Linked DNA regions of Drosophila melanogaster. Changing the gene in region 2 together with the main gene of any one other region gives a genetic interaction. Each region holds a gene or a part of one and is shown on either strand. Other genes may lie near its edges. The genes, in order: Gdh, shop and Orco.

Region 1 (3,756 bases), on a different chromosome or scaffold from region 2:
TTAGAGGCACACACAACTCGACATTTGGACAGGGAACCAAACGAAACGAAATTCATGAGCCGGCTGTTTTTTTTTTAAAGGGGCACTTTTGCCGAAATTCGAGACCGGGGACTTGATGTATGTACATACGCAGAACGTATTAAATAATTAACAGCCAAATGGCAGATGCATCAGCGGGAATTAACATTAATTAGAGCATGGAGCGCACAAAATGGTGGCCATTAAACACTGTCCATTGATCTAGTAGTACTAAGTAAATAAATAGACTAGCAATTTTTAGCACCTTTGACTGAAATAGCAGAGAGCTGGCTATTTGAGTGAATCATTAACGAGCCATAAGGTGGATTCAATTCACTTAGTAACAGGCTGTTTACAACTTTTGGTGACCCAACTAACTAAGCCACATGATCGATCGATCGATCTATGGATCGAAAACAAGATCATAAAGTGTTAAGAAGCGTGGCAATAATCGTAAACAACAAATTTTAGGGGCATAGCGTTTTTTCGGCTGTTTCTGTTTTCTATTTTTGCGCATAACCAAGGTCAGATAAGATTCCCTAGTCGAATATTTTTCACTACATATTTTTTGTGTTCTTTTTTTTTTGCTTTTGATAAGCACCAAACTGATTCTATAATTAATAATTTGAGATGAAGCAAAAAAAAAAGGAACAGAATTCGGAACAAACAATTTTTGTGGCCTGACAACAAGGAGATTTTTTCTTTTTTTTTTTGGTGGTTAGGGGCGTTACTTTTTTTTTAGCACTTGACACACTGTGCAGTGCTGTGCTCTCATTTCAATTAGAAAGCAAAACACAAGCAAAAGTTCATTATAAATAGCACCCAGCCAAAGGAAAAACAAACAGCAGCGAAAGAATCGAAATACATTTGCCAGCTCGAAAATAATGAAATGTGCGAAAAGCGGGCAGTACATTCAGCATATGTACATCTGTTTTTGAATGGTGGCACACTTGAAGGGTTTGGAAATCTAATGCAAACACGTGTGCCCAACGTCCGAGCCTTATGCAATGCGGCCTAAAAACCCTCAAATAACAAAAAAAAAAAAAAAAAAAATGTGGAGAAAGGGGGAGCCCAGTCGGCTAAAACGTAAACAAAACAGGCGGCAGCGGTACATGCGCAGAACGTGGGGAAAAGGGGGTCTGGTCTGGTGTGGCTTATATACTGGGTTACATAACTTGAAAAATCAAGACGAAATGCCAGAAATGCCTAAGGAAAAATCGATTTTGCATCGAGCGACAACAGCTGTTCTGAGGGTTTCTTAAAACTTAAGTAAGTGTTGACAAATTTTTGCTTTAAACTTGCTAGGTAATTGCATTTTTTGTTTTAGATTTTCAAGGAAAACTGAATCATCTAGTGGTCTCTATAGGTTTGGCACTTTTGTTTGCATCCCTTTTGAAAACCTCTTAACGTCTCATTTTTTACTACCTACGTGCAGAGTTCTGACTATTATATCTTGGGTTATCTTGGATCAACACTTGCCTCCCTTGGTGGGCGTCTTGTGGGTGCTGTGCTGGGCGCGGTAGCCGGTGATCATCTCGTAGTTGCCGGCATCGCGGCGCAGGGGGAAGGCGATCTCGATGATGTGGTCGCAGGGCTGCATCAGCATGAGGATGCCCTTCACCTTCTGCTTCTTCTCGTCGCGGGTCAGCTTGCCCTTCATGTCGTCCACCAGCGATTCCTCGGCGATTTGGCAGCCGCGATGGAAGAAATACTCGACCATGTCGAAGAAGCGCGGATCCTTGGCGGTGGGCACATCCTTGAGGCGGTCGGGAATCTGGTGCTCGGTGGCATAGCCGCGGCTCGACTGCATCACAGCGGTGGGCAGTGCCTTGGCCAGCGTGGCCAGCTCCTGCTGGCGGCGGGCGCCCTGGCGGGCCAGACTCTTCAGGTGATACATGCTGCTAATCGCTTGGATTCTTCGGGTTCCAACTCTTTTTTTATTCTGTTCTACACAACCGCTCGCTACTCGACGCCGCACCAAACTGGCCGAGGCACTCGCATAGATATGTATATATATGTCGGCTTTTTCGGAGCGCCGAGCTTTTTGCTCTCCGGCGAGAGCGGTGCAAACTTTTCACCGAAAAGCTCTGTGGGTGGAGTGCCCGCTAGAAACGCGGCACCACCGCCGGCGGATTACTCGCTTCGTTGCCAGGGCGAGATTAGGTATTTGTTATCGGTTTCACGTTCACGTTTTTCTTTGACTCCAAGATTAAGCTATGATTTATCATCTTCGGCTATATGTTGAATTCAGGGGGGTACTGAGTTTCTTTTAGAAAGCACTTGAAAATCTAAGTAATAAACATCGTACAGTACAATACAAACGATATATACAAGGTATATTTTATATAAGGTGTTTTTTTAAAGGTTTTGCTAAATTTTTTATTTAGAGCTCATACTTTCAGGAATTTACCACGTAACTTTCGGGCTTATCATGCTATTGATCTTTCACACAATTCCTATGTGACTGTTTTGAGTTTTAATCCTTAGTTAAAATAGAAATAAAACACAGCTAGCTTACTTAAAAAGAAACAAAATCTTGTGGACTATATTTGAAGTACATAATTAAAGAAGAGTTTATACATGTATGGTGCTGTTTCGCTCATGGTAAATGGTGCTGAGCGAGGATCGGATGAAGGCATCGCTCCGTTCCACGAAGCCATCCAAATGGGTCCACAGGAACCAGAAGCTCAGGGAGAAAAACAGCACTTTGCTGACCCAGTCGAGGATATACAGCCGTCGCAGGACCTTCCTGGCCTGCGGCAGAGTGTCCTCGCTCTCGCCCAGTATATAGGTGCGCATGCCCACAATGTAGTTACTGATGTATGTCTCCCAATTGACCTGACCCACCGACGTGTCGAAGAGGTCCTGATCCAGGAGGCTCAGCTGACTGCTCATCTCCTGGAAGCGCTCGTTTCGGAACTCCCACCTTTTCGTTGTGTAGTACTGCAGCAGCTTCAGACCCATGGACACTTTGCGTTGGACATTGAGTAAGCTGGATGGGAATAATCCATGTGTTAATAGGAGAACTTAAAATTTAACCGTTTACTTACAATGGCTTTTGGCCAAAGACGAGCAGCCAAAAGTCGATGAAGTATGCGGGCAGATAGTGGAAGAAGATGACGCAGAAAAGGTGGTGGTAGTAGTTCTTTTTGATGGATCCACCCGGATACCAGAGCGCAAAGCTGAGCGGCGTTTCGTAGAAGAATCGACGACCCGTCTCGATGCTGTCGCCCCAGGACATCAGCGCCTTGCTGGAGATGCACAGATTGCAGAACTCAACACCCGTCTGCTTGTTACCCTTCTCCTGGCTGGCCTTTCCGCGCTGATAGCCGCACAGGATCATGCCGTTAATGGCCTTGTCTACGGGTATCACCGTGGAGGCGTAGTCCGGATTGCAGTGCATCGATCGGATGACTCCGCGGGCGGCGCCGATCATTAGGCCGGTGGGTCCATTGACGCCCTCGATCCAGCCGGGCAATGGCTCGTGAATGGCGGCCGTCACTGCAATGGATTTAATAAAGCAATTAGCCAGGAGGCACAAAAACAGAGTAGACACTATGGTATACCCACCGATCGAGGGCCTTGTGATGATTATGGGCAGCTTATTGTTGTATCTGCAAATTAAATCTTCCGACAGCGCCTTGCTGTAAGCGTACGTGTTTGGCAAGCCGTTTAGTAATCTAAAAATAAGCCAAAGAAACTGGTTATTAGGTGCCACCAAGGTACGCCTGTAAAGGA
Region 2 (3,756 bases):
GGATGGCATCCGATTTGCTGAAGTCTACCGTGTCCCAATCGGTGCTAGGGCTAAAGCCCTTATAGTCGTTCTGCTGCCAGTGCGAGTCCGATTCCTTGTCCGCCACCACGATTCGCGTTAGCCACTTCACGTTGCGAGCGCCCACTGTGCCGGGAACAATTACGCGGATGGGGAAGCCATGGTCTCTGCTCAGCGGCTCATCGTTCATCTCGTAGGCCAGGATGACATCTCCCCTGGGATCGAGCGCCTTGGCGAGTGGTATCGATGCTCCATACGGGTGGGAAGTGGGATCCAGGTCGGCACCCTCGAAGATCACGTGCTTGGTCTCATCCGGCTGCACGCCCTGCTCTCTTAGAATGTCGCACAGTCGAGCTCCTGACCACTTGGCATTGCCCACTGCACCAGCTCCCCATGAAAGACCTCGGAATAGGGACAAATGGACCTAAGGGAATCATCAGAGAGATACCTAACCAGACGACTTACCCTTTACGGCCTTGACTTTGGTCATCTCAGAGCGTCGATTGCCACCGCACATGATGGCCGCCGTGACCGAGTGCTTGGGCAGGGCCTTGATCCCGTCCAGAGTGAGGGTCTTGTCCTTGGCGCCACCTTCGATTTCCAGCTCGTAATCCTCCGGATTTATCACTGGCACTGGCAGGTGGTTGCGCACATAGAATAGCTCGTTGGGCGTGTAAAACTGCTCGGCCAGCAATCCAATGGGTGGCTCAGCGTTGAATGGTCTCTTGGAGGCTGGCTTGAGCAGGGCGTGGCGCTGCGGCTCCTGTGACCAGGGTGAGCCCAGCTCATCGTCCACGTTGGTCACCACCAGTCCCTCCAGATTGCCAATGCGAAAGCCCTCTAGGAGCTCCAGAACCTCCAGCGTATTGTGCTGCTGGTAGATGCCCCAAAAGGGATCGATGGCACTGCCGGCGGCCATCAAGATCTTATCGCCACCGGGATGATTCTCGACAAAGTCCGTGACATCGTATACGCCCAGGCCGTAGGTGACCCAAATGCGTTTCTCTACGCTGTTGTGCTGCTCCACTTCTTCTGCCCTGTAGGTGGGCAACTCCCTTCTGTTGGTCACGTGCCACAGTCGGGCCGTTGCCTCTAGTTCCTCCTCGCTGGCCACCTTCTGTCCCTCGAGCAGCACATGGTTCTTCTTGTCGGTCAGCCAGTGGTAGCCTAGGGTCAGGCCACCTGCCCAAAAGGCAGCATAGAACAGTTGCTCCGACCTGCTGCCGGGAGAACTCCATTGGCTGTGCTGCTGCTCCTCCCTTTCTCCATTGCTACCGCGACTGGTGGTCAGCAGGAGACGCCGGTGATGTCGCTGGTGCTGGTGGTGCCTTCCGCGCAGCAACCCCGCCCAGCTGGGCCTGAGCAAGCGCATTGTTATGTAACTGATCACCGGTAAATCAGTCGATTCGTTTCGAAAGAAATCCAAACCAATCTCAAGCTTCCCCGCTCTGCTTCTTGCCGCTCCGGTGAATCTGTTTCGCTGCTGATTTATGTGGCCTCCTAAGTGATATGTCTTGTGGTTTGTCCAGTGGCGTCATTGGCCCCAGCAGCCTCTGGCCCCCAATCGGCGTTGGTTTAATTGATAAGCAATCTTGGGAGCGCTAATTCGGCTGTTTACCAGCCGCTCCTCGACAACAAAACACACTGTATCCATGCCCCCATGCGATATTTCCCGCAGTAGGCAACCCTGTTTCGTGTTGTTTGCTATACCCTTTCCAGAGGGTAGCTACACTTCACCATCTCGTTGGTGTATATCAAACTTTATGAAGAGTACAGACAGTGTACTTGGTGATGAGATAAACTAAACATTAACATTATTAATTGTGAAAATAGTTATAATCATTTAATCATTTGTAGATAATGCACTATAACCATATGTAACTATAAAGTAGTTTCTATCTATAAATGCTGCTTGAAATATCAAAAATTTACCATAGTTATAATATGTATCGAAAATACATATTGAAAATTGCACCAAGTGGCAGTATATACATTAAGTATGGTTGTAGGTAAAGAGTATGTGCAATTCGACTCTAATTTTACCTATTTTCAACATGCGCGAAGTACTCGCCAGCCCACCTGAAAGTATCGATTCCCAGTATCGATACTTGGGCAAAAGTTGTCGGCCAAGAGTGAATAACTAAAATGTACGCTAATAGAGAAATTAAGCTCGTTAAAACACGGATATTTGCAGATAAAAAGCTCTGACAAAAGCACTTGTTGCTTTGTTTATTTTTATGGGTATGATAATGTGATAAGATATGCTTTCATCTTCCCTCTCCCTCTAATTCGAGGGAGAGCTCATGAGAAAATATGAATAGCAAAAAGAAAAACGTTTAAACTTGTACGAATATCTTATAAATTCTCTTTTTGCTTAACACCAGAAAGTTTGTTTTGTTTTTTAATCCTCACTAATGTGAAAATGGTGATTTATTTATCACCGCACTCTTTCTAACTGGTGGAGCTTTTTAAAACGCTTTTTAATCAAATAAATTTTCGTGTATTTCGTGGATATACATATCTGTAGTAATGCAAGCACGATTATGCTTTCATGTTGATTAGTTGTTTATTGTCTTTGAAGGCATCTTCCCTCTCTTTCGAACCAAGATGTCTCAGAAATGTTTATAAATAAAATGCGAAAATGCGCGAGGGCGTGTGTAAATAATTATTAATTGTTCTGCTCTTCATTTCGTTGGATTGAATAGTTTTTGTTAGATGAAACATTAAAGTAGTTGAATGATTAAGATCATAATGTTGTGAAAAGTATTTTTAAAAATGTTTAATTATGTATAATCTATATATATCACCCTATAAAATTCATTAAAACCACCAAATAAAAAGTAACAATAATAGTTTATTAATAACCACAAGTAACGAGTTAGGAATAAGGGCATTTTGATGATTAATAAATAAAACAGATTTTGAAGAATCGACGTTTATTAATAAATATGTCTTACTTTCAGTTGCTGCACCGCCGTCTGCTGGCGCAAGCACATCCGGAGCAGCGGCCACCGCCCAGACCGCGTCCAACAAGAAGGAGAAGCACCAGCGGAGCAAGCAGGCGGACAAGGAGAAGGACAAGGACAAGGAGGAGAAGCAGGCGAGCAGCGGCAAGCGAAAGAAGGAGAAGATTAGCGTGGAGAAGATCGACACCGGCGACTTTGTGGTGGGCATCGGGGATAAGCTGAAGGTGAACTACCACGAGAAGAAGTCGCCCAGCTCGCATGGCAGCACTTACGAGGCCAAGGTCATCGAGATCAGTGTCCAGCGCGGAGTGCCCATGTACCTGGTACATTACACAGGCTGGAACAATCGCTACGATGAGTGGGTGCCACGCGAACGGATTGCCGAGAACCTGACCAAGGGATCCAAGCAGAAAACTCGCACCATTAGCACCAGCAGTGCGAACAGCGGTAGTGGTGGTGGTGGTGGCGGTGGAGGTGGAGGTGGAGGAGGAGGAGGAGGAGGAGGAGGTTCCCTTTTGGTGCAGGGCTCACAGCCCCCAGGAGTGTCCGATAAGCAGCCAGGCAAGGATGGCTGCTCCAAAATGTCACCCTCATCGGGAAATTCGACTGGACCTGGAGCTCCGTCGCTGTCGGGATCCTTGGGAGGCGCTAGCTCCACACCTTCGCTGCTCTCTACGGTAGTCAAGACGCCACCAACGGGAGGTGCCAAGCGCGGACGGGGACGCAGCGACTCCATGCCGCCGCGTTCCACCACACCCTCGTCGGTGGTGGC
Region 3 (3,756 bases), on a different chromosome or scaffold from region 2:
ATGAAAATATACAATATGGGTATCGGGCCGCCTTGGAGCGCTTAAAAATTCAGCTCTTCAGCCACGTCCATCGATGTGATGGGTGCGTGGCAGACGCAGAATTCCCACAATTAAATCGAACGCCCACGAACTTGTCCACCACTGCTGTCGTCTCCGGGTCTAGGACTCCGCTTTTGGGCCATGGGCCATGGCCCAGTCCTGTGCCCTCCACGCGGCGTATGCGCACTGGCGGAATGGCACTGGGACTGGAGATGGGCTCATCCTTGCGCGGCATCTGCGGTATCCAAACTTATGCAAATTTTAAAAGCATCGATTATTTTATTATGCCTGCTTGTATTTGTTGGCCTGCCCCAAGTGCCGCTGAGATATGGGGATAGGCCATTCCTCAGCCAACCCATTTGGTGGGGATCCCTCCGTGAATCGCTGACCCAAAAAAATAACACATTGCCTATTTGCATGAAAATGTGTGTGTTCAGCCTGATGGATATTTGGTCCTTGCTCAATTTTTTTCGTTCTCAGTTCTCATAGGCACTGAATTTCGGTAGGCGGGGGCCTTCAAAAGAAGTCTTAAATTGGGTTGCCATTATATATTATGAATACTTACAATTCTTTGCAATTATAATACAGTAGAATTTAAATAATTAATACTCTATCTCAAGGTCGTACAAGTGGCCTTCGAAATCAGTTAGGTAATATACATGTAGGCAATTAATAAAACAATTGTCTAATTCAAAATCTAGTACTCAAATTGCAACGCAAACGAAATTGCTGAGCAGTGTATTGAATGCTAATCGAAAACATCCAATTTAGTTATTCGAAACTAGTTGTGACAATATTAAAACGTGGCAAGAACAAAAAGCGGCGACTATTGTGAATAACTGAATCACACTTAAAACTATGTGCCGGAATGTAAATGTATCTGTGTCTGTAGCTATATCTGCAGCTAGTTTCCACCACTCATATACACATATGCATACATATATGAATGGGAACTCAGACACAGATGTCCCAAATCATGGATTATTTAAATGCAGGACACTCACGAACATCAATTAATACGTGAACACTTGCCTGTGTGGATTGCGGGGATGCGAGCGGGGATTTAACAATATTGATTTAACGTTTAATCGTCCTGAACTCAGCCATGCGAAACAAGCCCCCCCCCCCTAAATGTTGCCCCTTTCGGTCCTTCGCTTTTTGATTTATTTTATGGGCTTGTGGCTGAAAGTTTAATTACGCGGATGCGTTTGGATCAATTAGCTAACCGCGGACATCGTGAGCCCTGCAGCCTTTTGTCATTAATTATTAGGCAACATTTAAATGGAAAGTGACACTTGCTTTATTTAATTTACAACTTAAACAAATGAGCCTTTATTTTTACCATTACGCTTTTGTGTTCGTGACTGTGATCGATTCTGATGCCAAATTAAATGATTAAAACGCACTAATGGGTTAATAAAGTCACATTAACTAGAAATTATATATTTATATAATTATTATTAAGCGCTTTCCATATGAAATGATATACCCGAAGTATAGGCAACATTATTTTGATTCACACCTTTATGGCCGCATTTCAGCCAAAACCAAATGATTTCCATTAGGTCGTCCACAGGATCTCTACATAAAATACCGCAAGTTGTAAAACAATAAAAACTCAAAAATAAGCATATAAAGTTATTCAAGCAATCCATCAAATCGCCCATAAATTGCGAAATCAATGCGACACACACACACACACACACGCACACATTATAAAAACCTCTTTGGGGCGCAAAGCCGACGAAGGAAAAATTAGAAATCAATACCCAGCAAGGACAGAAAAATCTGTTAAGTGACAAACAAAAACGGCGAGAACACCAATTGCGTGTGAGTGCGTGAGTCCGTGTGTGCGAGGTCCTCTCTCTCCCATCCTGCTGCTTGGCTGTGTGCGTAAGTGCCAGCATCAGGAGCAATTCCTTTATTTTCGGACCGCCGTGGCCCTCGACCTACAGAAGGCTTTTACCAGAATTTATGGCTATGCATAACCGACTTGGAAAAACAACAGACGATCGAAAATACATATAAATAAGTGCGTGGGGTGTGTGCCACATTCGGTTTCATAGTGTGCGAGTGGTCTATATGTGTGTGTGTGTGTGCGTGTGCTTTCTTCAGGCCATTAGGGGAGCAAAAGAAATGTTGACATTGTCATAAGAATGGAAAAGAATGGCAGAGAAATGCGGGAAATGCGAACAACAGCGAAAAGCGCAAGAATTATTATTATTTATTCCCGGGTTTTATAAGATTTCGGTAGAGGTGCTGGGCGCTCATAAATCCAATCCTTATACATCGCACAGTAGTACACATGGAGAAATTGCTGGTGTACAATTTCAGAAAGATTTTTCAGCCAGAAAGTTTATATATCGCCAGTTTAGTTTAAAACAATATAACTGAATATGAAATTGTAATTGACAGAATAGGAAATGTCTTAATTTGTTTTCGGCGGTATATATATATTTAACGAATGCATTAGTATTTAGTTAATCATAAAAAATGTATGCTCATATTTTATGACTTTTGTTTTAAATTGTCAATATTTCTCAGCAGAAATAATTAGTATTTCACTGAGCTATGACCGAAGCAATTTCTCTCAGTGCACTTGTCTGCGTGCCAGTGTCACTTCTTCTGTTGCCGCTGACAGGGCGACAGATTCCAACCGGAAGTCGAGGGAGTCGGAAGGAAGTGCCTTCGTGGCTGCTCGCCGAGACAGTGTCAAAAGTTTAACTTTAGATTTATTTGCCATTTAATGCCGCTGCTCCCTTTCCCAGAACTGCAGCACGGCCAGGAGTTATAGGGGAGTTGTAAATCTCTCAGCTGTCTAAGCAGGTCAATGCATTTGGCTTTCACAATGGAATTGCAACAGGATCCCCGCCCCCACAGCTGTCCGCATAAAGGACATTCAGGACTAGTGTGAGGTTTGTTTGTTTGCCGCCTGCCACAAAGTTGTCAACGCGGCAACTAAACGAGTTTTGGTCTTGTGGTGTTCTATATTAGTCTGTAGGGTGTTCGTTTCGTTGGAGTGCTTTCTTTGTTATCCTTCTGCCCGAAATTCGAAGTTGTTCTCCCACGCGAGAGCATGCGCAGGGAGAGTTAAATCTGAGATGGCTCAGCTCCACGAGTTTAAAATTATAAGAGACGCTGTGGCAAGACGTTGCCACTCTTTCGGCAATTATGTAAAAGCATGAGGTGCATTAAATATGCCTATATAACGTGTGGAAGATTAAAATACAAATATTATTTGAATATCGATATAAGTTGGCTCAGTAGTAGTATTAATAGAATCTATAATAATCATGTGATTAGAATTTGCATGCTTAATTTTAAGTGTCTTGCCTAATTTTTATTTTCATACGGATAAAAATGTGCAAATCGATAGTGATAGCTATTAAAATAATAATAATTCTAAGCTTAATTTTATATTGTTGCACTTCTGCTTAGATACCATTTTGGGTTCTCTCTTATATATATATGTATATAATATTTAATTTTTAAGGACGTGTTCCATTTTATATTTAAAGGCATAGCAATCTGAACCATCTGGCAGCTTCAGCAACTCACGTGCATTATCTGTGGCTCGTTGAGCCTGTGAAATGCAACAAGAGAAGTGACTCGCCATCTGAGAGCTCTCTCTCTCTCTCTCGCTCTCGAAGGACTCGTTCCTTGCTCTTTGCAGAGATTCGTATAAGAAAATCTCTCCTCAGCAGAGGAGAGCAGGGC

What was found.
Region 1: of shop (region 2) and Gdh, changing one suppresses a phenotype caused by changing the other (phenotypic suppression), as found in Drosophila melanogaster (one study listed by BioGRID).
Region 3: of shop (region 2) and Orco, changing one enhances a phenotype caused by changing the other (phenotypic enhancement), as found in Drosophila melanogaster (one study listed by BioGRID).

Annotation. Positions count from the first base shown.
Region 1 is NT_033777.3:23,941,097-23,944,852, forward strand, and holds the start of Gdh (glutamate dehydrogenase), read right to left. Parts: upstream 2,006-3,756; 5' UTR 1,916-2,005; coding exon 1,498-1,915; intron 1-1,497. Other genes in the region: CG12268 (uncharacterized protein), read right to left, coding at 2,593-3,010, 3,069-3,519, 3,589-3,698.
Region 2 is NC_004354.4:18,846,899-18,850,654, forward strand, and holds the start of shop (shopper), read right to left. Parts: upstream 1,669-3,756; 5' UTR 1,391-1,668; coding exon 484-1,390; intron 421-483; coding exon 1-420. Other genes in the region: htk (hat-trick), read left to right, coding at 2,982-3,756. UniProt on the Drosophila melanogaster protein: Required in ensheathing glial cells for normal larval locomotion. Oxidizes sulfite which is required to maintain glutamate homeostasis and as a consequence, neuronal network function.
Region 3 is NT_033777.3:5,410,646-5,414,401, forward strand, and holds the start of Orco (odorant receptor co-receptor), read right to left. Parts: upstream 1,762-3,756; 5' UTR 1,750-1,761; intron 1-1,749. UniProt on the Drosophila melanogaster protein: Odorant coreceptor which complexes with conventional odorant receptors (ORs) to form odorant-sensing units, providing sensitive and prolonged odorant signaling and calcium permeability.